Linked DNA regions of Mus musculus. The protein of the gene in region 1 interacts with the protein of each later gene in a biochemical or structural test. Links are inferred from orthologs where the notes say so. Each region holds a gene or a part of one and is shown on either strand. Other genes may lie near its edges. The genes, in order: Tnfrsf13b, Tnfsf13 and Tnfsf13b.

Region 1 (9,676 bases):
TGAGTCACATGGGAAACACCAAGTCTGAGCTGTCCCAGTGTATGCAAGCATGATATAAGCGAAGGGGGCCACAAAAGCGGTCACGTTCCCAGAGACACTGCAGGTGTCTAGAGGGGCCTGGGGTTTGTTCTCTGGAGCTGTCCCAATGCCTGTGCGTTCTAGTTGTTGGACCCCACTGGTGTAAACGAGCCAGCTCTCAAGCCAGGGAGGGTGCAAAGTGTCTTTATTCCGGGTTCTAAAACTTTGGCCATGTGACTCACATGGAAGCCGGTGGTGCCCCTGGAGACAGTACAGAAAGGTCTGGTTTCAGAATGAGGTTTGGAAACTGCCAGCACTATTCTGAGAGAGCACATGTGCACTGGAGCATCAGCCTGTGGTGACTGGATGTGACTAAAGGGACCCTCCCCTTTTACTCCCTGCTGCCTCCCCAGAGCAGGCAGGGTGTTATTTGCTTCTCATTCATGCACAAGACATTGTAAGTATTGACCAAGATAGTGCGTGAGGCTCAGGACAGCTTCTCTAGTCTAACACATCACAGCTCCAGTTGTGGAAGGTGTAGGGTGCTTAGCAGCCTGAGAGGTCCATGCAGCCCTCAGTGAACCAGCAGAGACCAACAAGTCCAGAGAGGCAAGGAGTGGACACAACCCTCTGGCCCTGAGCTTGCCCTCTACCCAGAGGCAGAATGTTCCTTCCTGGCAATGGCCTTTACCTGTCACTCCCCTGGCCCAGCAGTGGTTTTGCTGGTTGTAGTTAATTAACACTAGCTATGAAAACCTCCCATGTAGGGTTGGAGTTCCCTCAAACATCACCCTTTTGTCCCACCTTGTCATATGACACATTCCCAGGCACACAGTTCTGGGAAAAATAGCACCAGTGTGTGTGTGTGTGTGTGTGTGTGTGTGTGTGTGTGTGTGTGTATGTGTACATGTGTATATATGTATGTGTGTATATATGTGCAAATGTTTCTGTATGTGTGCATGTGCATGTATGTATACATGTATATATATATGTATACGTGTGCATGTGTTCATATGTGTGCATGTATGTATATATGTGTGACTGTGTCTGTATGTGAGGATGTATGTGTACATGTGTGTTTATGTATGTATGTATGTATGTATGTATGTATGCATGTGCATGTATGCGTGTGTGCATCCTACTGTCAGCATCCTGCTGTAGCACTTCTCTCAGTGGCCTGTCCCACTGAACCCAGTCTTTTGCACACCTTAACAGTGTTGGTTCTGCCTTTGACCTCTGCACCCTGGCTATGCAGCCACCGTCCAGTGGATGGCAGCCACATTGCTGTCAGTCTCCTGCTGCCACTAACAAGCTTCCAGTGATGGGCTTTCAGGGTCAGTATTGGGTAGATAGTCTCCTAAAATGATTCTGTACAGCCAGAAGCTCCATCAGAGGGATGCTCACATTTCCTAGCTCGCTTGCAGCCTGTCTCAGGACCATCCTTCAGAGAATTAGAACCTGATGGATGACATTGGGTTGTCACAGTTTTGTTTCCTTCCTTCCTTCCTTCCTTCCTTCCTTCCTTCCTTCCTTCCTTCCTTCCTTCCTCCTTCCCTCCCGCCCTTCCTTTCTTCCTTTCTTCATTCTTCCTCCCACTATCCCTTTCTTTCTTTCTTTCTTTCTTTCTTTCTTTCTTTCTTTCTTTCTTTCTTTCTTTCTTTCTTTCTTTCTTCTTCTTCTTCCTTCCTTCCTTCCTTCCTTCCTTCTTTCCTTCCTTCCTTCCTTCCTTCTTTCCTTCTTTCTTCCCTCCCTCCCTTCCTTTCTCCCACTCTCCCTTCCTTCCTCCCTCCCCTTTCTCCCTTCTTCACTGTCTCCCTCTTTTCCTCTCTTCCTCCTCCCTTCTCTGCTGGATATTGAACCCAAGGCTTCCCTTACCCTCAGCTCCTATGTAGCCCAGGTTGGTTCCTATGTAGTCCAGGCTGGCCTAGAGCTACATAGGAGCTGGTTCCTTTACGTTAGCCTCTTGAGCACCGGAATTAAGGGTGTATGCCATTTGTTTTCCAGTGCCGAGGATGAAGCCAGGGCCTCGTCCATGCTTGACCACTGAGCTGCACTGCGGTTATGGAGGGGTTCTGAGCTACACAGCATAGTACTATAAATCATAGACACTCTGCCATACAACAGAAACACAGAACTACCTGGCTGAAGCTGGGACCTTCTGACCAACTTGTCCCCGACCTTCCACAGCCTCCATTGACTGATCTTCTTCCCAGTTGTAAGATCTCTGTCCCACAGAGACATGTGGCTTTTGTCTTTCTATGACTGGCTCCTTTTCCAATTTAAGCCATTGATTTCATTTTTTAAATTTTTTAAAAAGATTTATTTGTTTTATTTATATGAGTACACTGTTGCTGTCTTCAGACACACCAAAAGAGGGCATCGGATACTATTGCAGATGGTTGTGAGCCACCGTGTGGTCGCTGGGAATTGAACTCAGAACCTCTGGAAGAGCAATCAATGGTCTTAACCGCTGAGTCATTTCTCCAGCCCCAATTTTTAAAATTTTATGTGTATGGTGTCTTGCCTGAATACGTGTCTGTGCATCACACTTATGTCTGGGGGTCCCTGGAGACTGGAAGAGGGTATTGGATCCCCTGGAACCCAAGTTACAGATGTTTGTGAGCTATCCTGTGGGTGCTGGGAGCTGTACCCAGGTTCTCTGTAGGGCAGCGTCAGTGCACGTACCTGCTGGGCCTTCGCTCTAGGCCATGACTTCTTTTTCTTTTGTTTGTTTGTTTGTTTGTTTGTTTGTTTGAGGCAATGTTTTTTTCTGTAGCCCAGGCTGTCCTGGAACTAGCTCTGTAGACCAGGCTAGCAGAGAACTCAGGAGGCTGCCGGCCTCTGTCTCTCAAATGCTGGGATTAACGGCGTGTGCCACCACATCCAGCCAGACTTCCATTTTTATACATAAAGTTCTCCAGTTCCATCCGTGTTCATACAAATGGCAGGATTTCCTTCTCTTTTGAGAATGAAGAGAATCCCATTGTCCACACACATCCACTGAAGACATGCAGATTGCCTCTGTATCTGGGCTACTGTGAACAGTACTACAGTGAACTTGGGAGTGCAGTTGTTAGACTTTCTTATCCCTGCAGGATTCTGAAGACCAGGGAGTCTAAGCAATGAAGTTGATGCTGTAGCATTGATTCTTCATGTCATATATTGGACATGGAGTTCTCAGTCACTGTGTGCTGAGAACTTGCTATAAGAAGGGGCCTGTGGTGGCCAGGCGTTGAGGAGCACACCTGAAATCCCAGCCCTCTGGAGTCTGAGACAGGAGGCTCTTGAGACAGACAACATAGTGACACCTGTGTCAAAGGAACTAAAAGCCAGACAAAGAACAAGTGACTGTGTGAACTCATGTCATTCTCACAATGACTCAAGGGCCCACTTTTCAAATGAGGGCATGGAGGTACGAGACAATTTATATACAAGTCCTTACCAAGGTATCAGACCCTGAAGCAAAACCCAGATCTACAGGGACTGCACGTAACACCTAACGTCCTGGGAGCAATCACAGATGGCTTCGTGGGAGAGGTGACATCTCAACTGATCATTGAAAAAGAGACAGCAAGAACTGACCAGGCAGCAGCACAGGATGTAATGGTCCAAGAGGAGGGAAGGCTATGTGGGGAGGACAAGAGCTGTTTGGACATCCTAGCCTGGAGAGTGGGCAGTGGGCAGTGGACAGGAACCAGGCGCAGGAGCCGGGCCAGAGAAGATCTAGAAGTGTCAAAGCCCTGTCATTAATACAACCAGGCTAAGCCCTCACTGCTAAGCCAAAAGCGACAGGTCGCTTACCTGTCCTCCCTGGACTAAAGCGCAGGCGCAGGTCAGCAGGGTGGCTTATTTACATCCCCAGGTCGAAGGGGAAAACCCAGGAAGTGTGGCCTAGGCCTAACAAAATCTCAGGCTAATAATAAACGCCCTGAGTAATGAGTGGTGTAGGCCAGGGCAGGCAGGAGGCTGGAGCTGTTGGCGCAGGAGCGTGGTGAGTAGCCAGCCGTGGTGGGTGAGGGCCAAGAGGGTGCTCCGGGGGCTGGAGATCTAGCAGTGCCACCACGGCACAAGCTAAGGCTACTCAGCTTTGGGACAGCTTCAGTCCTGCACACGGAAGAGGCCTCCGGGGGTCAGGTCTTGCCTGCCAGTGGGGTCAGCCAAACAGGCAGGAACCTTCTTTTTTCTATCCACGTGCTCCAGATTTGTTTCCTTGTGCCCCTGGATTAGTTTGAAGTGAATCTGGTAAATTTTGGATGCCTCGAGATGCAGCATTTAGATCTCTGCCCGCACTTAACTGCTGTGAATTTCTAAGAACTCTTAATATCGTGACGCGCCTACGAGCACAGGTGTTGAGCGCGAAGTGCTGATGATGTGTGTCCTCGGTGGGCAGATTCAAATCAGACCTTCATGGCCCTCAGGAGAAAAGTGGGTTCTGTATTTCAGACTCTACCTATCCCCATCTGCCTTCTTATTTTTCTTGCTGATTTTTGCTGATGAATCAGAGCTGTTTATCCTATAGTGTTAAAGAGTTTCCTTAAAGAGTTTCCTCCAAGCTGGGCGGTGGTGGCGAACGCCTTTAATCCCAGCATTCGGGAGGCAGAGACAGGCGGATTTCTGTATTTCTGAGTTCGAGGCCAGCCTGGTCTACAAAGTAAGTTCCAGGATAGCCAGGGCTACACAGAGAAACCCTGTCTCGAAAAACCAAAAAAAAAAAAAAAAAGTTTCCTCCAAGGCAAAGTCATCAGGACCCACCACTCACAGCAGCTCTCGACCCATCCCCCTACCCAAGCTAGACTCAGGCAGGCCTTTGCTAGGATTTCCATCTCTGTCCAGCAACCATGTCCACCAAGGATGCGAATGAGTTTCACAGAGAATCGCAAGAGGTGATGGTCAGGAGCCATCTTGACCCAAAAGGAAATGTCAGAGGACCTGGGACCAGCAGTTAGGAATCAGGGAAGAATGTTCTGGAACCCACATTAGCTTTCCAGTGCTTCAGTGAGAGCCCAGACAGGTGGAGAGTTCAAGTCACTGCTGTTCTTAGTTTGCACACTGGCCCTTGGCCTCGGATAAGTCTCTTCTCTTCACCTACAAAATGGGCCTCAAACCGCAAATCTGCAGTCAACCCTTCAGACCCTCTTGAAAAGTGACATTCAAAGGTTCTGGGAAGTTAGAAAAAAATCCTCTACCTTATTTCAGTATTTTAAATAATTTAACATTTAAAATAATTATTTTAATATTTATTACATTTGTATTATCATGAAATAGGTATATATTCTTTCCATTCATAGTTTCTCTATAATAATAAAAACTAAAGCAGTTACACTTGAAATTAAAACTAGAAAACCACTGGCTAGGTTAGTGGCACACACCTTTAACCCTAGCACTTGGGAGGCAGAGGTAAGCAGATCTCTGTGAGTTTGAGGCCAGCCTGGTCTACAGAGAGCTTCAGAACAGTCAGGGCTACATAGTGAGATCCTGCCTCAAAAAAACATAGTAATAGTAGTAGTAGTAATAGAAAGCCATTAAAATGAAAGTAACCACTTTAATGTATTTCACATAACAATTTTGTTTTACTCAAATAGAAAACTGGTGTGTGTGTGTATGTATGTATATATATATATATATATATATATATATATATATATATATATGTATATATATATACATATACATATATATGCACAAGTAAACTATTCGGATTAATATTGGATTAATAGCAAAATGCTGTAATTTGAGCCTTGTGTTCTTTTTTTTTTTTTTTTTTTTTTTTGGTTTTTCGAGACAGGGTTTCCTTGTATAGCCCTGGCTATCCTGGAACTCACTTTGTTGACCAGGCTGGCCTCGAACTCAGAAATCTGCCTGTCTCTGCCTCCTGAGTGCTGGGATTAAAGGCGTGCTCCACCACGCCCAGCTGGGCCTTGCGTTCTTAAAACTGTCTTGTTTTGTTCTATTGCAGCGTAGGATTGCTCGCTCACAACAGGCACCTGACTGGTATTGAAAGCCGAGTCTTCCCTTCCTCTTTAAAGGTATTCACAATAATAGTCAAACATGTCCTGTGTCCAAGTTTTTGGCTTTGTTTTTTGTTTGTTTTGTTTTTTTAAGAAGATAGGGTTTCTCTGTATAGCCCTGGCTGTTCTGGAACTCTCTGTAGATGAGACTGACCTTGAACTCAGAGTTCCTCCTGCCTCTGCCTCCCAAGGGCTGGGATGAAAGGCGTGCGCCACCCCCTATCCCAAACTGCATCCAGTTTTTAAAAGGCGCAAGAATTCCAAGTTGCCTTCCTCGACGCCTGGACTAAGGGGTGAGAAGACCCATCAGTTTGGGGCTTGGAAGAGGAGCGGCGTGATGCGCCCCTGCCTTGCATGTGGTACGGAGTGTAACCTTATAGTCCTGGTCAGGAGCCTGTAGCACCACGGTGCAGATATGCCGGGTCTTTCTGTGTGGTGCAAGCTGCTGCCTTGACTTTTTAAAAGAAGGTTTCAGACTAATCTGCCTCATCAGTTTTCCGTGGAGCAGCGCCTTGCCATCTAGACAAGCATGTCAGGAGGCCTCCAGAAATTGGAGGTGCTGCCGACTCTTGGGTTTTAGGGTTCGCAGGAACCGGTCTAGGTTACAAGAGGAGTTCCTCCTTCCCTGCTATCTACCAGCAGTGCTGTCTCCTCAAGCTTCCTTTTCTGACTCAGTTGCCGTCACTCTTGGAGGTCTCCTGCCCATCCTAGGGGCTGGGCGGGGCTTCTGGGCTTTACATGGATCTGGTTGGTGGGTGAGAAAGAAGGGTGGGCATAGCTTCTTCTGGTCAGTCTTGCGGTCTGAGGCCGTGGCTGTGGTGGGTCCTGGAGCCTCTCTCAAGCTGACCTGCTCGTCTCACTCACTCCACAGGGATGGCAGTAGCTCCACTTAAAAGAATTTCCGTTTTTAGTAGAATCACAATTGTGTACCTATCACCACAACCTAATTTTAGGATGTTTCCGATATCCCAAAAGAATCCTTATTAATCTTACTTTCTCCCACCTCCAGCCTCAGACCACAGCTAACGGATCTCCCATGTCTAGAGGTTTGCTTTTTTTTTTTTTTTTTTTTTTTGGATATTTTGTATCAGCAGCATCGCGCTCAGTGTGTGCTGTGATTCCGTGTTCCCTAGTGATTCACATGTTTTCACAGGTCACCCATTTTGTAGCATGACCATAGCTACATGTTCATAGCTAAAATAATATCACATTTTAGGGATAAACTATTTTTTATTCATTCATCAGATGGCCAGCATTCGAGTGGTTGCCACTCACTGGGGACAGAGAAAAATGCTTTTGTGAGAGTGGTTATATTTTGGGCAGTGTGTTTTCATCCTTTTGGCTATACAGCTACCCAGGTGTGGAATTGCTGGCTCCCGTGGTGACTTGGTTGAATTTTTAAATAGTTGCCAAGCCACTTGACAAAGTGGTCACAACACTGCCTAGTCCCATTTGACACCTGCAGTCCTCACTTTCTGTCCCTGCACTGTAGCAGCAGTCCTTAGCAGGGGATGTGGCCTCTTGCTGGTTTGAGTTTGCCTTTGCCCAGTGCTGAGCTGGGTCCAGCCTTTCCCTGTGCTTGTTGTTCATTCATGCGTATTTTGGGGGAAATATCTATTCAGCTCTTTAGCCCAATTTTTAGTTAGTTTTTTTTTTTCCGGGAAGGTAATTTTGTAATTAATATTTACGTACAGAGAACTTAGTGTACATTTAACCAAGTTTAGTGGCGAGGTCTTTAGCCTTTGCCTTTTCCAGCTTGGCAGTGTGAGCCACAGACTTAGGACCCAGGACGTTGCCTCCCAGTGGCAGTGAATCTTGTCATATCTGTCATTATAATTGGTCCTACTAGCTTTGACCAGCTTAGCCAGAGCACCCTTGTCTTCTGAGTTAACCTGTGTGAAGGCAACAGTGGTACATGTCTTCCTGTAGACCAGGCACCCCAGCCTGGCTTTTCCCTGATGATGCAGTAGGGCATCCCCATCTTTCGACACAGGGCAGGAAAACCACCGGCTCAATGAGGTCTACGTCATGGGCAATCACCACCAGCTGAGCCTTCTTGTTCTCCACCAAGGTGGTGACTGTGTTGACTCCTGCTCAGAGGACAGGGGGTCTCTTAGTTGGGACGTCCCCTTTGCCTGCAGCTTTCTTCTCAGCACAGGCCAGTAGCCTTTGCTTCTTCTCTTGCTTTGTCTCTGACCTGTACTTGTGGGCAAGCTTAAGCAGCTGAGTAACTGTTTGCCTGTTCAAGGCCTGGGTGAACTGGTTAATGGCAGGAGGTACTTTGAGCCACTTATTGAAGATGGCTTTTGGCCGCTGCAGCCTGATGTAGTAGGGCCATTTGATAAAGCATGTTAGATCTCTTTTGGGCTGGATGTCCTGACTAATGCCAAACTTCTTGGGCCTTTTCTCAAACAAAGGGTTGACCACCTTTTTAGCCTCCTGTTTCTTGATGACTTTAAGGGCTGGGGACACCTTCTTCCCCTTGTCCTTCTTTGATCAATTGATTTTATTTGTTTGTTTACTTTTTTTTTTTTTTTTTTGAGACAGGGTTTTTCTGTGTAACAGTTCTGGCCATCCTGAAACTCCCTTTGTAGACCAGGCTGACCTCGAACTCACAGAGTTCCGCCTACCTCTGCATTTGAGTGCTGGGATTAAAGGGATGGGTTACCACACCCAGCCCTTTGAGTTTTATTATTTTTTAATGATATCAGGTAAGGACTTAACTCCATTTGCATGTGTCCATCCAGCTTTCCCTTCAACGCTGGTATAACATCTTAAATGTATGACACCCTAATTTAAATGATATCAGCTATTCATTGAGAAGACTGGGTTTTGCCCCGTTGAATGCTCACGGTACGCCTGCAAGGAAGCCATCTGCTCATACAGGTGAAGACTGGTTTGCCTTCCCTATCCAGCTGCTCTGGTCAGACCCCTGTCTGTGCTTTCACCACGCTGTGGACTGCAGCAGCTCTGCCTCTTTCAGAGCCAGGAAGAGTGACCCCAGCTCGCCCTTCTTTTAAAGATTATTCTCAGGTCCTAGTAATTCCATTTGAATTTTTAGGATAGGGTTTCCTATTTATGTTTTTTAACAAGTCATTAGGATTCTGTTCTAAATTCTGATTGGTAGGTTGCTTTGGGCCATATTGACTTCTTAAGTCTTCTAGTCTATGAACACAGGGTATCTTTTGGCTTTTTTTTTAGGTAATTTCTTTCCACAATATTCTATATAATTTTTGGCATACACTTCTTTCACCTCATTGGCTAACTTTACTAAGTATTTTATTTCTTTATTTTATGCCACCATAAGTTAAATTGTTCCTTAGTTTTCTTAAGGACTGCTCTTTGTGAGCTTATGAGAATTCAATGGCGTCTGGTTGCTAATATTTTTACCATGTAACTATTCATTCCAGTATGTATGTATGTATGTATGTATGTATGTATGTATCATCTATCTGTGTATCTATGTGTCTATCACCATGATAACTACCATTGTCATTTTGCCTAAGTGCCAGGTTTGGGCCAGGCCTTTACTTAAATTTCATGTGTATGCAGCAACCGTGTTCACAGGTTCATGTTCACAGGGTGCTGATACATAGTTTCTAGAGAATTGGATGAGGCATACTTGACCCAGAAGTAAATACCACAGGATC
Region 2 (9,817 bases), about 8.6 Mb from region 1:
GGAGTGATGAGAGGAAACGTTGAAGAAAACTGCAAGCGAACCGAATCGGTGCTTAGCGACCGAATTAAGGAGATGGGACAGAACGGAGCCGTGGGGGCCAGGCAGACCGGCCCCTCTCCAGTCTTCTCCCAGGAGACCTGATCGCTTCCCGGCCCCAGTATAGTTTGAAAGCTCGGGCGACTCGGCACACAACAGTCTTAAGTCCTTTAAAGGGCTTCCTGGGCCCAGTTAGGTGCGAGCGAAGACCAGAAATGGAAGAGGCCACAAGGGCGGGGGGAGGGGAAGGGGCGTCCTCACCAGGAGCGGGGAAGCCGGGCACACGGGCCCCAAGGCGGCTGTCTCCGACTTAGGCTTTCCGGCTCATCTTTCGGACGGCGGCGACCCCGCCACTCCTGCTATCCTCAGGCGGAGCCGTCTCAATTCACGAAGCCAATGCTCGTGCCGCCCCACTGCGGCCGCCTCTAGCGCGGCTCTAGCCTCCACCTCCACCTCCACCTCCAGCACCGCCGCCACCCCTCCTCCTCCTTCCCCTCCCGCGAGCCCCAGGCCCACCGCCGATGGCGGCGCGCAATTAGTGCGTCACACCCGGCGAGCAGCGCCGGCTCGTGCTCAGTCCCGCCTACCTCAGCGCGTCTAGGCCACCGGACGGTCCCGCCCTCGAGCTCTACGCGGAGCCGAGCCTGCGCACAGTCGCCTGGCTTGCCGCGTGTGGCAGTCCCACGGCTCGCTCTTTTACGCCTGCGTGTCGCGCCTAGCCTCACGCTCTACGTCGCAGCCACACGGTACTCCCTGCTCTTCCGTGGCCTGAGCTTTGGGTGATCTAGTGGGCTTCCCAGTGCATGGCCAGAATGTCAGGGGCCCCGCAAGGATTGGACCAAAGCTAGGCGCTTAGGAAAACGGAGGCCGAACATTGGGTTTTGAGGGCTTTGTTTTTAAAAACAAACAAACAAACAAAAAACAGCTGGGCGTGGTGGCGCACGCCTTTAGTCCCAGCACTTGGGAGGCAGAGGCAGGCGGATTTCTGAGTTCGAGGCCAGCCTGGTCTACAGAGTGAGTTCCAGGACAGCCAAGGCTACACAGAGAAACCCTGTCTCAAAAAACGAAAAAAGAAAAAAAAACAAAAACTTTAAGCAGGGCGTGATTAAATAGTGAGACACGACCGGTGTGCCAGGGCGTCCAGTACATACAAACTTCCCGGATACCAGTCTGATCGTGGAGAGCCTTTCGTTTATTTGTTTGTTAGTTTGTTTGAGACAGGGTCTCACCATTGTAACCCCTGGGTGGCCTGGAACTCACTATTTAGACCAAGTTGGCCTCGAACTCATCGAGATCTGCCTCCCGAGTACTGTGATTTAAGGCGTAAAGCTCAGTGCCCAGCTCGGAAGTGTATAGGAGAATGGGGAGGATGAATGGCATGCATATCGAGGCACCTAACATATATCTTTTTCTAGATAGTAACAAGAATTTGGACGCAATAGGTGAAATACTGAAAGCCGGGCTTCTTGTTAATTGAAGCAGAGGGTACTTGAAGAGTTGGATAAGGTTTTCCCTAGCAGAGACCATAGTCTTTCCTCAACCTGCCGCTAGATGGTGCTGCTGTTCTGGATGCATTCCAGTGGACAAGGCTTGGCACAGTGCGCAAAACCCCCTTCGCACACACAACAAAAGAATTTGGGGCTGTGTGGGAGATAAACACAAAATATTCTACTTTTTTAATATCCATGGAGTCAAAGCCCAGATAGTGGGAGCGGGAAAGGCAAAGGGAGGAACAACAGTCAAGGCAAAGCCATGGAGAGCTGTTCTTGACCGTTCCTTGTCCTTTGTCTAGCCAGTTTTTGGAATGGGAAATCCCCACCCCCTTTATAACAATCATAGTTTCACAAACCCCAGGAATGTTCCATGCGGAGAAAGGCTAAGTTTTGCGTTTGCCCGTGGAATTTTGACAGTGATAATATCCCCTTGATGTAAATGAAAGACACCTGAGGGTGGGGGAAAAAAACATTTCAGACGCTTCGTTCTGCCTGCTCCAGCCCCTCCTCCATTTTGATTTTATGTTTTCAGTTTTTTGTTGGGGAACATGTGCATGTGTGGAGATCAGAAGACAGCTTGAGAGTTGGTTCCTTCCTTTTGCTCTGTGGGTTCTCGGAATCAAACCCAGGAGGTGAGATGTAAGGGATGGAGCAAGTTACTTTCCTAAGTGAGCGGTCTCACTGGCTTTGTTGAATTTTGAAGGCAGTCTCACTCTGTAGCCTAGGCTGACCTTGAACTTTAGGCTAACCTATCACATGGGCTTCATATGTGGGATTATAGGCACGAACCTAGTTGTTCATAGGCGGGTGCCTTTTCTCCCTGCAAGGACTTTGGCATCTTGTTCTTGAGTCTTCAGATTTGCCTCTCCACCCCCGTTCCCAACTCTCTGGTCTAACTCCCCACTCCAAGTCAGCTCTGCTACCTCATATCAACACTCCACGGAGCCCACAGTTCTCACCTGCACTGTAGCAGCTATTGTAGGCACGGTCAGGATCAGAAGGCATACTTCTGATACATCGGAATAGAGTTTCTCTTCTCCCTTGTCCTTCCCGAGATACCACCTGACCCATTGTGAAAGTCACATCATGAAACAGGACCTGTCAGAGAAGGGAGACGCTGAAGAAAACCGGGATGGCACCATTCAGTCCCTGGAGGCCTCAGGAGCACTGGCAGTGGAGCCAGGCAATAAGGAGGGGGTTTTCTAAGTTTAGTATGAGCAGAGGGATCAGGAAAACCCTCCTTACAGACAGGGTACATAGAAAGAAGAGTGACAAGCCAGTCTCCATGTCCACACGGCAGGCTCAGGGCTTATCTGGGATTACCTGACTATAGAGCAGATAAATTCCAGTGTCCCAGACTCGTACAATGTCTCCCTGGGCCTCCAGGCCTCTCCCACGCCTAAGTACTGGTTGCCACATCACCTCTGTCACGTCAGAGTCTGCTAGAGGTGAGGAGTGTGCAGGTCAGCATTTCCTTACCCTCAGTACATGAGCTCTCTCCCTTTTCAGTTCTAGGGTTCTCTTGGCCCCAGCCCCACAGTTCCTGGTTGGTGCCCCTCCCACAGTGCCGTTATTTAAAATAGTGCTTACCCTTGGAGGTAATGTTAACTGGAACAAGATGCAGGACTGAGTGCTTCTCTAAGGAAAGAAGGAGGAAACAGCAGTGTTGACCTGCCCTGGAGTCCACCCTCACCTCAGCCCTGCTCCGCATCCCTCGTGCTCCTGGGTCACCGCCAACCGCACCGAAACCCCAGGGCTCACTCACTCTTGTGCTTCTGGGTGAGTACTGCTCTCCTTCTCCGAGATTTCGCCCCATCCTTCCAGGCTTCCAGGACATCAGGACTCTGCTCATGAAAGAGGGCCAGAGTTTGACTAAGATGTTAAGGGTCTCAGACAACCTTCTTCCCAGCCCTCCTCAACACCAGGAATAACTGAAATGTATGTATCTGTCATAGGCCCCTGATCTGGGCACTGACTGCCTTTCAGGGTGTTTATTTTCCTTAAATGGCTGTTCCCTTGACTTCCAAATCTAGATCCACCTCCAGCACTTACTTGCAATTTTGCAGATTGAGAGGCTCTGAGACCCCTCTGCCATTCATCCTTCAGCCCTAGATTCCCATCTCCCCTGACTCACCTGCTCCCAGAGGCTCTGCCATGGGCGCTCTCCCTGCTTCTGGGAAGGCCCTCCACTCCGCTGCAGCCGGCTCACCTCCCGCCTTAGGCTTTGCAGCTCTGTCTGTTGGATCAGTAGTGCGACAGCACAAGTCACAGCCCCCAGAACTGCCCCCCAACTCAACCAAAGAGCAACCGAAAGGGCTGGCTCTCTGACTGAGCCCCCCATGTGGCCTGGAGATGAGGCTGGCATGAGCTAGGGACCCTGCCAACAGCTGTGGTCTCAGAAGTGAGGTGGCCAAGAGGTAGCAGGGAGGGTGGGAATACAGGCAAAGGCACAGAAGGGAAGAGCGGGTTACGCAAGGGAGAAATAAAAAGGAACTTGAGAATAGGAAGAAATCAAGCTAGGGTACTATTAGTCCCCCTTGTCCCCAGGGTCGAGCTAGTGACACTCTGACACTCCTTCCCCCCTAGCCTCAGGAGAATTTGGTGCCATTATCTAGGAAGGACAGGGCAGCCGTGACACCCAGAAGGAGCGGCCAGCCTTCAGGAGCCCAGGGGCGGCCCCTAAGTTGGAGGAGGGCAGGTCGGTTGGTTATGGGGCATGGTGCCAGGAGCAGGGAATGGGTATAAGCTGGGCAGCGTGGGGTTTAGAAGGTGAGTGTGGTAGACTCTGACTCAGGCATGAATGAGATCTTTGAGGAGGTTTGTTAGGGGTGACTGGAGATGAAAAAAAGGGGTTTAGGGGCCAGCAGGGAGGAGAACCAGGGACAAGAAACTGGCAGGGTGCTGGGGTTAAGGCTGGGCCGGGTGTGTTGGAACCAGGCCTGCACTACTCCCTGTGCTGAACTTGGCAAGCTGGACTTCCTGTTTCCCAAGAAGAGTTCTTACATAAGGTTCTCTGGACAAAGAGAAAAGACAAAAGCGGCAAGCCCCTCAGTCGGTGCAGCTCTCCTCCCCACGCCCATGTAGCTGGCCCACCGGAATCCTTCCTACGGCTGGTTCTAAGCCCCTTCCCAAGCTAGATCCCATCCCATGTCCTAGCCAGACCTCTGCCAGCACCTGCTCAACTGCTTGAGGCTGCCAAGAGGAAGGGCCCTGCTCCTCCTAGCCAGGGATTCCCCTGCAGGAGGAAGTCCTTTGCTAGGAAAATGAGGCTGCTTCTGCAGCACCTTGAGCAGAGGACCAGGTGGGTTTTGTTGTTGTTTGTTTGTTTGTTTGCATTTTTTTTCTGGTACCTTTGTGATTTCTATTCAGAACTGCAGCTTGGAGGCATGCAGGTCCCTGTTCCCCAAAGCCTAAATCCCCTTCCCACAATCTTCAGTTACTCTGAACCCCAAAGAAGAGAAATCATGATTTATTCTCTTTAATATCCATTTAACATTTTGTCACAATAATAATAAAAATAGTATCTTTTCAAAATCCACAGGGATCCAGGGAGGAGCTTGTCCCCAGCTCTTCCCCCTCACAGTTGGGAACTTCTGGCCTAGTCCCAGGTTCTCTGGCTTCCTGCCACCAGGTCCAGCCCATCTCAGTGCCTGGTGCACAAAGTCAATAAACACGTGGTCGGGTGAGTGGGTGGGGGAGTCAGGGATAAGTAGGGGCTTTGGGAGCTAGTGAGGTGGATAGTTGTGGTGGGATGGGATGTTAAAGAAGAGCAAGGATACGTCTGTGGAATGGAAAACATGTGAACAAGCTCTGGCTGCCTTTGAGGAGAGGACAGGACTGGACCAAGGAGCAGCGAGGGGGTGGAGGAGTGGGGGTGGGGTAGGGAGGTGTGGTGATGCTCCTGGAGCCAGGGAAAGTTTAAGGAATCTGGGAGAGCAAGGCCCCTCAGTGAACTTGAAAGAGTCCAAAGTAGGTTAGGAAGGGGGCAGCCTTAAGATGAGCCCAGGGGAGGGTGCGGATCCGAAGGGAAGACCCTGGCCGCAGCGGCAACAGCCCAGACACCTGGCACAAACGGAGCTGGGGCCCAGGAGAGCTTGCTGCTGTGGCTGAGAATTCTTCCAGGCAGCGCAGGGCCAGCACACCGTTCACCAGCAAGTCCAGCTTCAGGTAGACAGCCTTTCCCTCATCAAAGTGCACCTGGAACAGAGAGAGGCAAGCAAATCCAGACCTCTGCCTCCCTCATCGAAAGCCAGGCATCTTCCTTCATGAGTCGCAGAGTCTCCCTCTCCCACCCATTCCTTGCCAGTCCCTCCTCCCCTTAGCCTTTGCTCTGCCCCTGAAGCCAGGCAGGGCTTACCTGACAGTACAGGTAGTAGAGCCCAGCCCTGATGACTGTAAATTCCCCAATCTGGCGGTCGTAGCGCAGAGGGCTGGAGCTGTTGATTTTGGTCTCTTCCCAGCCACTCACTGTCCCATCCACACCTGAATGGGGGATGTTTAGGGATAAGTAGAAGCCCCTTTACAAGACCCCACACACATTCCCCAGGAATCCATTAAGAGTGTGTGTGTGTGTGTGTGTGTGTGTGTGTGTTTGTGTGTGTGTGTATACACACACATACATGGTACAGCTTGCCCAGAGTATAGGTGGAGCCATGCCCTTATGGTACACGAAGTGATAATAAAGTATTGTGTGATGAAACCTAACATACATGACCAGGAAGTTGTCACTGGTGATTGCTTCTGGGGAGAATAAAGAGTAGTGCTACAGCAGAAGAGTTGGGGTTTTTACATTTTACTTCACGGTTTATGTCCTGAACATCTATACTATACTATACTATACTATACTATACTATACTATATACACACGTGCCCGCATCATTTGAGTCAACTGAAAACAGGTGACAGGCCACAGACTCATGGGTTATGAATTGAAAACTTCCTATACAAATGAGAAGAATATGCCCAGCATTGCTGGTGCACACCTTTAGTGTTCACCTTTAATCCCAGCACTTGGGAGACAGAGGCAAGAGTATCTATGTGAGTCTGAGGCCAGCCTGGTCTATAGAGCAAGTTCCAGAACAGCCTGGGATACATAGAGATCCCTGTCACAAAACAAAACTAAGAAAAAAATAAAATAACTCTTAATGTCCATCAGCAAATGAACAGATGAGTAAATATGACATCCCTGTCTCTTGGTCCATTACTCTGCTGTAGAAAGGAATAAAGAGTTGCTTGCTAGCATGTGAGTGAACCTTGAAAACATTGTGCTCAGTGAAAGAACCACATATTGTCTGCTCCCAAGCATAGGAAATACCTGCAATAAGTAGTCTATAGAGACTGCGAGGGGGCAGGTGATTACTTGAGGTTAGCCATGATGGGACTATAATGTGATGGCTAAAGGATGCGCGGCTGCTTCTTCCTCTTTTTATTACTACTATTATTTTTTGACACTGGATCTCATGTAGCTTAGGCTGCCTCAGACTTTCAATGCAGTTGAAGATGAACTTGAATTCCTCATGCTGCCTTCCAAGTGCTGAGATTATGGTATGTGCCACTTTACCAGACTTGGCCTCATGTTTGTGACAGGCTCTCTATGCAGTCCTAGCTATCCTGTTGTCCACTATATTACCCATGCTGGTCTCTAACCCAGAAACTGGCCTGCACCAGCCTCTGCCTCCTAATGCTGGGATTGCAGGTGTGAGCCATGGTTTTTGGTGATTAACGGTTTACACCTCAGGGTGCACTTTAGTCACAGTAGAGCACAGGATTATACATGTGGGCGGACTGCATGGGATGTGAGAGCTATCTTTTTTTTTTTTTTTTTTTTGGTTTTTCGAGGCAGAGTTTCTGTGTAGCCCTGGCTGTCCTGGAACTCACTCTGTAGACCAGGCTGGCCTCAAACTCAGAAATCTGCCTGTCTCTGCCTCCCTAGTGCTGGGATTAAAGGCGTGCATCACCACTGCCCGGCTGTGAGATCTATCTTAATAGAGCTGCTACCAAAAGCCATGCCATGCAAAGGGCTGGGGATGTAGCTCAGGGGTAAAGTGCTCAGCTAGCGTGCCTAGGACTCTAAATTATGTCACCACAAAACAAAGAGAAATCTCTAGAACTAGTGTAGTCGAAAACTGTAAAGAAAGCCAGGCATGGTGACACACGCCTTTAATCCCAGCACTTGAGGCAGAAGCAGGTGGATCTTTGAGTTCAAGGCCAGCCTGGTCTACAAAGTGAGTTCCAGGACAGCCAGGGCTACACAGAGAAACTCTGTCTCGAAAAAAAACAAACAAACAACAAGGAAGTAGTAGTCAGCTTGGACCTCAGAGTCTATGACTTCCCAGATTCTGCTCCAAGGCTATCACCCCCACCCCACTCCCACCCCCACCACTACTACCACGTCCCATCCTGGCCTTCTTCCTGTCTCCCACCATGCTCCAAGCTCCTTCTCTCTATGGGGCTTTATAATGGTATTCCTCCCCCAACTGCACCCCCGCCAGCTCTTCTCTTCCTGACAATGACTTCTAGTTTCTCCTGTGGGAGTGGTGTGTGTGTGTGTGTGTGTGTGTGTGTGTGTGTGTGTGTGTGTGTGTGATATGTGGGGCGGGGAGTGGGGGGGAGTGGTGTGTGTGTGTGTGTGTGTGTGTGTGTGTGTGTGTGTGTGTGTGTGAGAGAGAGAGAGAGAGAGAGAGAGAGAGAGAGAGAGAGATGGAACAGGTCTATAATCTGATCCTTTGGGATTCTGAGAAAGAAAGCTCCTGAATTCAAAGCCGTGTCTCAAAACAAAGCAAAATAAGACAAGCAAACAGACCCGGCCATGCCCATCTCTGACTTCCCTTCTTGTTCCCCAGCAGTCAGCAAAACATGAACTCTGTATTCATCCCCCCTTGCAAGGGCAAGGACAGCTGTCCTATTCACCCCGACTATCTTCCCAGCACTTAGAACTGGGCCTCACCTAAGGTAGGCCTAAGATGCACGGGTGAGGAGTTACCTGACAGTTCTCATCCTTTGGGTCCACAGGCTCCCTGGGCCTCAGGCCCCACAGTCAGTCAGTCATCCACCCCCCTCAGCCCTCCCTCTCTGCCATCCCCAGCTCTGTTCCTGTCTCTTATTTTTTGTTGCTTGGTTGAAGTCAGAGTCTCACTGTGTAGCCCTGGCTGCCTGGTAGTTACAGTACACTGCCTTGACCTTCCTGCCTCTGCCTTCAAGGTGCTGGAATCACACTGCGCTCCACCCTGCCTGGCTTTCTCATCCCTTTCTCAAGTAAACAGTAACTCTTTGGCTTAGGGTGTGGCTCTGTGGTACAGCACTGGTCTAGCTAGCCTATGGCCCTCCTTCAGTTTGTCTCCCTGTCCCTTCTCCACATTACCCACCCCATGCTCACTGTGGGGTTGGGGGGGGGCAGTGATTCTTTCTGGGCATTTCCATCTGAGTTGTTAGCACAGCCACCTGTCCTTTACCAGCCTCCCTTTACCCAAACTGACCTGACCCCTTAACCCAGAAGGGTGAATGAAGACTCACTCCAGTATCCACACCCCATGCGTGGCTCACAGAACCACCAGTCTCTCCTATACCAATACCAAATTTGCTCAATAATAACAGTTTCCTACTGTTCCCGCTCCTGAACAGCCCTGTCCTCTCCTCCCCTCCCTCCCCAGTCTGGCCTCCTCGGGACTCCTCACTGTTTCCAATTTTGACTTTTCCAGTTTATTCCCCAAAGTATTGGAGTTGCTATGTCCAAAACCTGACTCTCCCTGCATTACCTTTGATGGATAGGTCACTGAAGAACAATCCCTTCTCTCTTTGTGACCTGCCTGCCATCTGTCTTCCGTAGTCTTCTACCCTACCCTATTTTCTTTTACAGGCATGTGCAACCTGCAGCCATCAGAGGGCCCCATGCATCTCAGGGTGCTATGGACATGGCCCAATGTATCTGCAGAGGACATCATGTCACAGTATCAGAAGATCAGGTACCCCACATGTATAGAGCGCTTTTCCACCCCCACCTCACTGAAACTCTTTAACAACCTTCCGCCTCATCAGACTCTTGGGAAAGCCTGGCCTTGCATGGGTCCTGAGCCTGCCTCTACCACCCAATTAAGCTTTGAGGCCTACTAAGGCCTAAATGCTACTACCAGGGGCAAGGAGTCCCTGACTCCACTGTAAAATCGTCTTCCTGTGTGGTGCCATGTATCTTGGGCTACCTTACCATCATTCTTGTCATCTACCACTGTAATTACACATTTACAGACTGCCTGCTGTTCCTCTGTGGTGAATCCTTAAGCAAAGATGTGTGA
Region 3 (9,653 bases), on another chromosome or scaffold:
ACCCTCTTAAGTCTTTTTCATCCCGTGTTGTGATTGCACTGATGAAGAATTAGACGGCATGTGTGTTTAGTTCTTTTACACATATTTTCCACTATAATTTTGTTTTTCATGCAACATTTTTCTGTTCAAGGTGTCTTAGAAACTCATTTCCCATTCAGGGGCTAACATAAGCTGTAGGTTTATGCATTGCCAAAGGATGTGCCACCAGAATTTTACAAATTATCCCTCAAAAAACACAGTAAGTCACTTAACTCTTTAAATCAACTCTTTAAAGTTGTTCTCACCATTTGCATTTTTATATTTACACATTTGGAAAATAATTATTGTTCTCATAGACATAAGTTATTACAGCTTTAATTTTGAATAGCTTTGAATTCAGTATTGTCTTAGTCAGGGTCTCTATTCCTGCACAAACATCATGACCAAGAAGCAAGCTGGGGAGGAAAGGGTTTATTCGGCTTACACTTCCATGCTGCTGTTCATCACCAAAGGAAGCTAAGACTGGAACTCAAGCAGGTCAGAAAGCAGGAGCTGATGCAGAGGCCATGGAGGGATGTTCCTTACTAGCTTGCCTCCTCTGGCTTGCTTAGCCTGCTCTCTTATAGAATCCAAGACTGCCAGCCCAGAGATGGTCCCACCCACAAGGGGCCTTTCCCCCTTGATCACTAATTGAGAAAATGCCTTACAGTTGTATCTCATGGAGGCATTTCCTCAACTGAAGCTCCTTTCTCTGTGGTAACTCCAGCTGTGTCAAGTTGACACAAAACTAGCCAGTACAAGTATATATAATATATTGAATATTATATGTAGTCATATATAGTCAGTAATAATATACCACAACATAAAATACCCTCAGTAACCACAAGGAAACACAAAATAGCTATATAGCTATGCAGAAAAATAATTAGCTATAGGAAACTTTCTATTGGCTAGTCCGACTAATCATACAAACCAAAATTATTTAATTAAGTAAGTAAATGAGACATTTTAGATTAGAATAAGAAAATATCAAGGATATGTCGTCTTCAAATGTCTAAAGCCTAACCCTCACAAAGGAGCAGTATGAGGAATTACACTAATGAAATTCAGGGAACTATAAATCAATGAGTCAGGTCATAAACATTCCTAAAATCTAAAACACCCCCCCCCATGTCCTTGTGGTAACATCTTAGCCGAAATGAAAATCCAAACTATATTTTCACATTTTTATATAAAACATCAATAATAAGATATCAGACAGAACTGAATTTTACCAAGCAGTTTATGTCAGTTAAATGTGTTCCTATCAATAAATAAGAAAAGGGTAACCAAGAATCCCTGCTGAAGATTCCTAATAAAGGACAAAATCAACAAGAGAATTAGAATGGAACAAACCATAAAGATGGGTGCATAGCTGAAGAGATATACCTGGCTGGCTGTTAGGGCACCCTCACGAAGGATGAACTGAGAGAGAAGGCCTTCTTCCAGAGTAGGTGACCCCTGAGGAGTGAACCACAGATAAATGGCCCCTGGGATGGAGGCGGGGAGACAGTATTGCCTGCCCACCTTTGTTTCTTGCTGACGAGTGCATCTCCTCCTGTTGCTGCTCTTGCTGCCTTTCAATTGTCCCAGGGCCCAATGTCTTCACCCTTCCACCATGGACTTGATGCACTGGGATCTTCCAGAGTTTCAGTCACATATTGAGACTTGTGAGGCATCTGGTTTCCTGGACTAAGCAGGCACCGGGTTCTCAGCCTGTCCTGCACACATAGTCATAGTAGGGCTACCCAGCCACTCGTGCAGTCCAATCTTATAAGATTCCATTTACAATCTTTATTCATTCTACAAGTTTATTCATGTAGGGAAAAAAAAAAAAAACCACTATGGAAAAGTGAGCATATGGGTAAAATAGCCAAAATCATGGAAATTGAGGCTGAAAATAAAAAGCAGGTAGCTGTGCTAGTAGTAAAGAGTCAGTTCATGAAATCAGAACGTGGTGGGAAGGATGATGACGGATACAACCAAGCAAAAGAAACATTACAGGACAGCAGCCAAAGCTGAGACAGTAGCACCTCCAACTGGGAGTGCGCACAGCCACAAGCCCACACAGCCGGGGAGCGCCAGTCATCGGAGCTGGAGCAGGGGGTTCCTCAACCCAAAGGAAACAGGCATCTTACGAGGAATTGAGAGTCCCCAACTTAAGTCACCAGAGAAGAACATTTCCATCTCATGATTCAGTCAAAAAATACATAGCAAAGAAACAATATTAAAAACTGTAACGGAAAAACGCCAGTTCTCTCCGTGGGCAGAAACACCAGAATAACAGCCAGGAAAGTAGGGAATATTGTATTTTAAGACCTTAAAGTAAGTGATTGCCAGTCAGGATTGATAGAAATAAAAACACTTTATGCAGCGCGTGGCAGTGGGGTCTATGCTGCAGAAATGATCTGTCTGAATACTATCTAGGGGAGGGGGAGAGTCTCACTCAGAGAAGCCCAGGAAAGAATAAATACATGAGAGCAGTGCAGAAACAAAGGAGAGCTGGGATCCGGCATGGCCAACACAGCAAGTCAGAAAAACAAAAAAACAAACAAAAAAATACTAATAGGACAGGGAGAAATAATTAGCAACATCCTAGCATCCCCCACAACCAACAAACCCACAGGAAACAGCAATCCCTTCTCAAAAAACCTAATGCAAACTTCCTCAGCACCAACATGCAGACCAACTTATTGCATCAAGACAAGATCTAACTATCTGGTATTCCAAGAGATGTGCCGTACGTGGTGGCCACCCACAAACTGCCGAAGGGCAGTGAGTACACCAGTGCTGTGCGGTGGTCAAGCAATAAAGAGTGCACTCACCATCGAGTAAATCTCAGATTAGATCATCAAACCATTTCCTCTGCAGGAAGCAAACCTTTGAGTTAGGGAGAGATAACGTTCATTTCCTAAGAAATCTAAGAGCCCTCACTGTAAAGGAGCTGTTTTTGTGTGAACTCTGTGGGCGTTGTACAGTGGTGCCTGCTAGCCAGAAGGAGGCTTCTTGACAAACTTTTTTGGAAGAAGCAGTGGCCATTGATGCACAGTGACAACCACTACCTGAACCAACACTGGACACTTATTCTAAAATGACCTGGACTCAGATTGGTCTGGGCTTTAAGTTGAGGAGTTTGGCCATGAAGTTCTTTGCCTTATAGAGCAGAGAAGGCAAAGGGCATCTTATAGCCCAGCTAGATAATTCCCTCTGGATAATTATACAGAACAGGAAGAAGGTGCCGTCCTTTGGTCTTGCACTTCTTCGAGTCATTTAATTTCTGTATGTGATTTGGTAATAACACATACCTGAGATATGTGCTTGATTTTGAAGCCGGGTTTTGCTCTGGAGCCCAGGCTAACCCTGAACCCACAATCCTCCTGTCTCAGCTTATCATGTGGTGGAATTCTAATCCTACCATTAAGTCTCATGAGGGAGGGCCAGGGGCAGAAGCTGGATGGGTGGTGGGGAAGCCTCCCTCTGGAATCCTTGCTGCTGTGTGTCCTTGTTTCTGAGATTTTCTTCCTAAGCTTCTGAGGGAAGGCAGCATGAGGCAAAACCACTGCTCAGCAGCCCGAGGTTTAGACAAATGGAGTCTCGGCTAAGTGTTCAATGGCCTGTGCTGACTGAAGATAAACGGATGTTGAGGTACCAGGCTCCCAGCCAGCCTTCCAGACCAGGAAAGACTAAAATGAATGGAGCAGTGCCTTCATGTCACCAAGCCCAGGCACAGACTGAGGACATCCTGTGTCCATACCTGTGAAACGAGTGCCATCAATGTGGAGACTGTGTGTCAGCTCCTAGCGGGGTGGGGGTGGGGACTGAGTCTCTGCCATGCTTCCCTGTAATCCACCCCACATTTAAAGCTCCCCCACCCCACCCCCACCCACCCCCACCCCCGGTGTGGCCTTAAATAGAGCTGTAGCATGTTCTCTTCGTTGCCCCACCAAGACGAGAGCAGAGTTCAGATGGAGTTCAGTCACTCAGCTTTATGGCGCTCCATTTCATCTTCCACTGGGGAGCTGTTGGCTTCCTTGTCCGGCAGCCAAATGCAGTTCAGACTCAAGCACTGAGCTTATCTGACTTGTACATTAATTATCGTTTATTACACCACTAGGCCTTCAGTGTCCCCTTTCCCCTTCCTTAGAAGCCATGTGGCTCCAAGTAGACAGTTCTTAAGAGCACACTGAAGGGAAAGCACCTTCGATAAGCTTGTCTGGAGTGAGTCAGTCTGAACCCCAAGCTGCCCCCCCCCCCAGCCGCCGTGTCAGAGGCCTCGCATCTCCCACAAACAGGACTGTATTGAGATAGAATGAAACATCTTACAAAAACTGAAAGTGAAATGCGGAAGGCAGATTGAGCAATCCATGGAAGGCCAGAGCCAGAGAACCTACTTCAGGGTAGCAAAAGATGCAGAAGAAAGTCAGGAGAGCGCTCCTGGGGGAACCCAGCCCTGCCATGCTCTGAGGGCAGTCTCCCAGGACACAGATGACAGGAAATGACCCACCCCTGTGGTCACTTACTCCAAAGGCCTAGACCTTCAAAGTGCTCCTCGTGGAATGGATGAGTCTGCAAAGACCCTGCCACCACCGTGCCTCTGTTTTTGCTCCGAGAAAGGAGAAGATATGAAAGTGGGATATGATCCCATCACTCCGCAGAAGGAGGAGGGTGCCTGGTTTGGGATCTGCAGGGATGGAAGGCTGCTGGCTGCTACCCTCCTGCTGGCCCTGTTGTCCAGCAGTTTCACAGCGATGTCCTTGTACCAGTTGGCTGCCTTGCAAGCAGACCTGATGAACCTGCGCATGGAGCTGCAGAGCTACCGAGGTTCAGCAACACCAGCCGCCGCGGGTGCTCCAGAGTTGACCGCTGGAGTCAAAGTGAGTTCACCCCTCCTCTGCCTGTGCAGGAGCCCCAGGTATGCCACTCCACAGCTGTCCAGTAACGGACTGGTTGTCTCTTTTCCTAGCTCCTGACACCGGCAGCTCCTCGACCCCACAACTCCAGCCGCGGCCACAGGAACAGACGCGCTTTCCAGGGACCAGAGGAAACAGGTACGGCTGGGGCACAGCAGTTAAGAGCTGGGGCTGTGCTGTGCACACCTGCAAGCCGCCCGGCCGCGGTGAACGAAGCACTTTGTGTAGCTTTGTAGCAATTGCAATAAGCTGCGTGGCGTGCCTTGCCCTACACTGAGCAGGGTGTATGGATAGGAGGATCCCTGTGGGAGGTGACAAGACGACTAGGGTGCACGGATCTCTCGCACTGATGTGTGCTCAAGGACTTAGCCGCAGAGCTCTTCCTGTCACCGCAGTCACGTGACCGCCTGCATCCCAGACAAGAAGCCATTCCCTAGCATTTTCAGATTTCCCATGTTCTGGCCAAGTTCAGATGTGGACAAACCCTGCATTATGAGGTTTTACTAATTTTTTTTTTAAACACACGCGCGCGCACACACACACATTGTGGGGGCAGTTGCAAAACACACAGAAATGGCAAAGACTGTAATGCACCCTTTCCATATGCAACATAATTTCCGTGTAATCAGTCTGGTGTGGCTTCAGTGGTTGTTGTCCATTCCCCAGCGTTTTGCAGAGTTGGGAGTTACTGAAATGGACTTTTCTTCTTGCTTCATGAGGAAAAAAAGAAGCAATACTTGTTTGTTAACAATACAATTCAGCACACTCCTGATGTTGACTGCCTTTTTATTCTTATAAAAAAATTTTTACCTGATAGTCTGAGTGAAAAACAGCTTAAAAGCTATATAAACAACAAAAATTCTTGACTCTCTAAGTTACATGCCAAAAGAGTATGAAAATATTACATGCACCGCAGTACCAAAATTTTTGTGCAAATCTGAAATTTACTGTATGTAGTGTTAGCTACCTTCTAACCTTTTTGCTGAAATAATTACAGCATGTATAGTGCACTGTACACAATAATAGAACATATGCCATGGTGCATATGTAGTAACAGTACATATACCACAATGGATGGAATAATAGCACATAATTACAGAGCATGTAATAAGTGCCCTGTATGTCACGGTGTGTGTAATAACAGTGCATAATCACAGCGCACATAATGGTACAAGCAGTACACTCTGCTGTATTTTATTTCTTATTTTACAATAAATATCTCACTGATTTCTTAGTAATTCCCTTTGTCTAATTTGCTGCTTGTGCTTTAAATAATGATTTTATTATTACTGTGACTGATACAGGATACACAATTTTTCTTGTGTGTATCTCTTGTGTCTGAGGAATTATGCATTCAATAGAACCATAGATTATTATTCAAGTTTCTTATTGTGAACTCTTTGGGGTGACAGGTTTCTATATGCTCATTAGAATTTCATCGTTGTACCTTCATTTCCATACTTATGTAGCATCAGATAGCTCCTCAAGTTTGAGTGTGAACCCCATCCACTAATTATAAATACTGTTCACATGTTTTTATCTTATTTTCAATTTTGTATTTTTAAATTAATTGGTTAGTTATCTATCCTTTTTATTTATTTATTTTAACAATTTGACATTGATGTAATTACTTGCGCTTCACCTTGTATTTTCTTCAAACCTATACAGAGCCGTTGTGATTGTCTGTCTCTTAAAGGGATTTCTGTTTCCTCTGGTTTATCAAGTTAAAGCACATTTGCCCCTCCCTGGCTTTCTAATTACCAAGCTGCAATCCCCTTTACTTGTCTCTTGTTCTGACCAAGCCTTCCTTTGCTCCTAACCTATTAATCCCTGTGTCTTTTGTTGTGGTAAAGCCTCTCACACTTGTATGACTTCCTCCTTTCTCCATCCCCCTTCAGGCTGTTGTCTCAAACAAAAGAATGCAACTATTTTCCATAATTCTGTGCTGGTGAGCTTGTGGAGTCAGTCCTTTATGCAGGACTGGATTTATGTGCTATCACTGGCCTATTTCTCTGCCCAGCTGCTTCGGATGGTCTAAGTAGTTTTACATTTTAGTGGACATCAATACCTAATAGTCAGGCGAGATGCCACAGAGGTCTTAAGTCATGTCTGCTACACTTCCAGGCTTCTAAGGACTGGTTTCAAAAAGAAACCACAACTTCGCCATTCTAAAGAGAACATAGACTCATTTTAAGAGCTTTAAGAGTAAAGAAGAGCAGAGAATTATAATGTATGTCGTTAATTCTAGAACGTTGGAGGTAGATGGAATTAAAGATTTCAGCCTGATCTATATAGAAAGTTCTGGACCAACAGGGCTACATAGGAAGAAAAAGAAGGAAAAGAGACAAAGAGAGACAGAAACAGAAAGAAAGAGAAAGAGAGAGGAATACTAGGGTTAAATATCCTGTAATGATATAATTTTTAAAATTTTCCCATTTGTATATTTTATAGATTTGTGAATTTATGCATCCAAATATTTCAGACTGATGCAACTGGGAGAGGGAAAATAATTAATAATTTGTAAAATTTAAAGAACAATGTACTGTCAATGTATGATATATGTATTTTGTTTTTTTCTTTACATATATTTCCCTAATACTCATAAACCCAAGATGAGAAAGTTTCAGATATGAGACTCAAGGAAAGGAAATATTTCCTATTCCTAGACAATTACAGTATTGACTCTTGTTTTATATATTATCCCTTTGAAACGAGAAATTTTATTTTGTGATCAGTGACCACTGTGATTATCTACTAACCCACAAAAGTTATATGAAACTCGAGGATTTTCTATTGTGGTTTAATCGAGTCTTACTTTTAAATTGAGAAAAATGTATTTGCTTTTGTGAATTTGTGTTACACATCTGGTTGTTCTGATTGTTTTCTTGGACTTAAAATAACCTGGGGTGTTCCTTTTACTTTCAAGGTGTCCACTAAGGCTCTTATCTGGGAGCTGCTTATATCTGTGTCTGAGCTGTGGGTATCTCCATCCTATCTCATCTCACAGCAGCAGAGGGGAAACACAGATCCCTGCCAATTCTTGAGTCCTCCGGGGACAATTAGTACTTTTGCTTAATTTTAAAACTTAGCATTTTGGCATACTTTTTTTTTTAGCTAATTTGAATTGGAATTATATTTTATTAAGCTTAGTACATTTTATAAGGTCATTTTATTATAGTATAATAAACAGAAATGTGGGGAAATCCAGGAATAAAGAATTGCCAAATAGCTTATCATAACCAACAATTCACTCTTAATCCTTTAAATGTGTTTGGAAAGATTCTTAATAATAATAAAGAAAACTGAGCAACATGATCTGAAAATATTACATAATCTAGTTTCCTTAAAACTGCCATCACACAGGACTGTGCTGTGAGCCTTCACGAGCTACATCTTTATTCACTTCACAATCTAAATAAGAACATCTTTAGAGCCTGAGAAGGTGACTTCTTTAGAGCTTACTGGCAAACAGCATTAGCCTGTCATCCCAGCTACTCTGGAGCCAAGGAAGGAGGATCACATGATGAGTTCAGTGCCTGCCTGAGGCAGCTCAGTGAATCGGGAGGCAGAGGCAGGCGGGTTTCTGAGTTCGAGGCCAGCCTGGTCTACAGAGTGAGTTCCAGGACAGCCAGGGCTACACAGAGAAACCCTGTCTCAGAAAAAAAAAAAAAAAAAAAAAGATTCCTGCCTCAAATTTAACGAGGGAAGAGGAGTCAGCTCAGTGGTCCAGCTTCTGCCTCGAATGCACGGGGCCCCAGGACCAAGCTTCAGCATCTCCCCACTTGTTAGTCAACAGGAAAAGTAAATGGGCAGGAGGCTGCGAATTTCCATTCTTATTTTGTTTCACGTACCTTTGCTTTCTGACTTAGGATGGTACCTCCAGAGGGACAGCAGATAGGAAAGCTTCTTGACATAGGAATCCCAGTCCTTAGAACCGCAAGTCAAATGAGTGTCCGTCCCTTGAAGACAACCAAGCCTCTGACATTGTGTAGTATCAGACATCACGTATTAGGACAGGTATCCCTTGGTTAGCTCAGAAAAACTGGGTTCTAATGGAGCTGAGTAACTAGGTTCTGTACGTCTGTACTTTGTAGTACTGACCTCACCATTTCATATCCACTGTGTTGTTCCGTGGACTTCCGTGGACAAAGTTACTATTCTCTGTGATGTTCTGTGTTCCTAATGCAGGTTAGCTCACACCCATTCTCTGTCTAGGATTGTCTAATACTTTGATTTTAGAAAGACAAAACTCTCTTTTAAAAACGTTGTATTGATTATTTTGTGGATAACATTTATCAAAGCTCCTGCAGCAGTAGCAGTGGTAAAGCAGAGGTGGAAACGGGACAGTTAGGAGATATAAAGGGGGGCAGAGGGACCCAGAGATCACAAGAGCAAGGACCAGGATCGTTTAAGATTCACAACCACGCAAGAACTATCTGTATTTTATCTCCAAATAATAATTATTGGACAGGGCTGTTGAGATGGCTCAGCGGGTAAGAGCACCAACTGTTCTTCCGAAGGTCCTGAGTTCAAATCCCAGCAACCACATGGTGGCTCACAATCACCCATAATGAAATCTGACACCCTCTTCTGGTGTGTCTGAAGACAGCAACAGTGTAGTTAATCTATAATAATAAATAAATCTTTAAAAAAATAATTATTGGACAACTTGGGTCACTCTGCCTTGTTTCTACCCATTTATCCACACAGACTTCTCAGTTTGGA

The links.
Region 2: the proteins of Tnfrsf13b (region 1) and Tnfsf13 form a complex in vitro, tested with the Homo sapiens proteins (2 studies listed by BioGRID and IntAct). The link is inferred for Mus musculus from reciprocal best matches to the Homo sapiens genes TNFRSF13B and TNFSF13.
Region 3: the proteins of Tnfrsf13b (region 1) and Tnfsf13b form a complex in vitro, tested with the Homo sapiens proteins (3 studies listed by BioGRID and IntAct, with this or other methods). The link is inferred for Mus musculus from reciprocal best matches to the Homo sapiens genes TNFRSF13B and TNFSF13B.

What each region holds. Positions count from the first base shown.
Region 1 is NC_000077.6:61,122,807-61,132,482, forward strand, and holds the start of Tnfrsf13b (tumor necrosis factor receptor superfamily member 13B), read left to right. Parts: upstream 1-3,948; 5' UTR 3,949-4,009; intron 4,010-5,974; exon of another isoform or gene 5,975-6,044; intron 6,045-9,676. UniProt on the Homo sapiens protein: Receptor for TNFSF13/APRIL and TNFSF13B/TALL1/BAFF/BLYS that binds both ligands with similar high affinity. Mediates calcineurin-dependent activation of NF-AT, as well as activation of NF-kappa-B and AP-1.
Region 2 is NC_000077.6:69,681,366-69,691,182, forward strand, and holds Tnfsf13 (tumor necrosis factor ligand superfamily member 13), read right to left. Parts: upstream 4,190-9,817; 5' UTR 3,895-4,189; coding exon 3,664-3,894; intron 3,374-3,663; coding exon 3,295-3,373; exon of another isoform or gene 3,168-3,294; coding exon 3,120-3,167; exon of another isoform or gene 3,039-3,119; intron 2,972-3,038; coding exon 2,853-2,971; intron 2,628-2,852; coding exon 2,489-2,627; intron 2,162-2,488; exon of another isoform or gene 2,062-2,161; intron 1,980-2,061; coding exon 1,870-1,979; 3' UTR 1,212-1,869; downstream 1-1,211. Other genes in the region: Tnfsfm13 (tumor necrosis factor (ligand) superfamily, member 12-member 13), read right to left, coding at 1,870-1,979, 2,489-2,627, 2,853-2,971, 3,120-3,167, 3,295-3,373, 3,664-3,765, 5,592-5,726, 5,887-6,011; Tnfsf12 (tumor necrosis factor ligand superfamily member 12), read right to left, coding at 5,475-5,726, 5,887-6,011. UniProt on the Homo sapiens protein: Cytokine that binds to TNFRSF13B/TACI and to TNFRSF17/BCMA. Plays a role in the regulation of tumor cell growth. May be involved in monocyte/macrophage-mediated immunological processes.
Region 3 is NC_000074.6:10,002,269-10,011,921, forward strand, and holds the start of Tnfsf13b (tumor necrosis factor ligand superfamily member 13B), read left to right. Parts: upstream 1-4,364; 5' UTR 4,365-4,574; coding exon 4,575-4,892; intron 4,893-4,981; coding exon 4,982-5,066; intron 5,067-9,653. UniProt on the Homo sapiens protein: Cytokine that binds to TNFRSF13B/TACI and TNFRSF17/BCMA. TNFSF13/APRIL binds to the same 2 receptors. Together, they form a 2 ligands -2 receptors pathway involved in the stimulation of B- and T-cell function and the regulation of humoral immunity.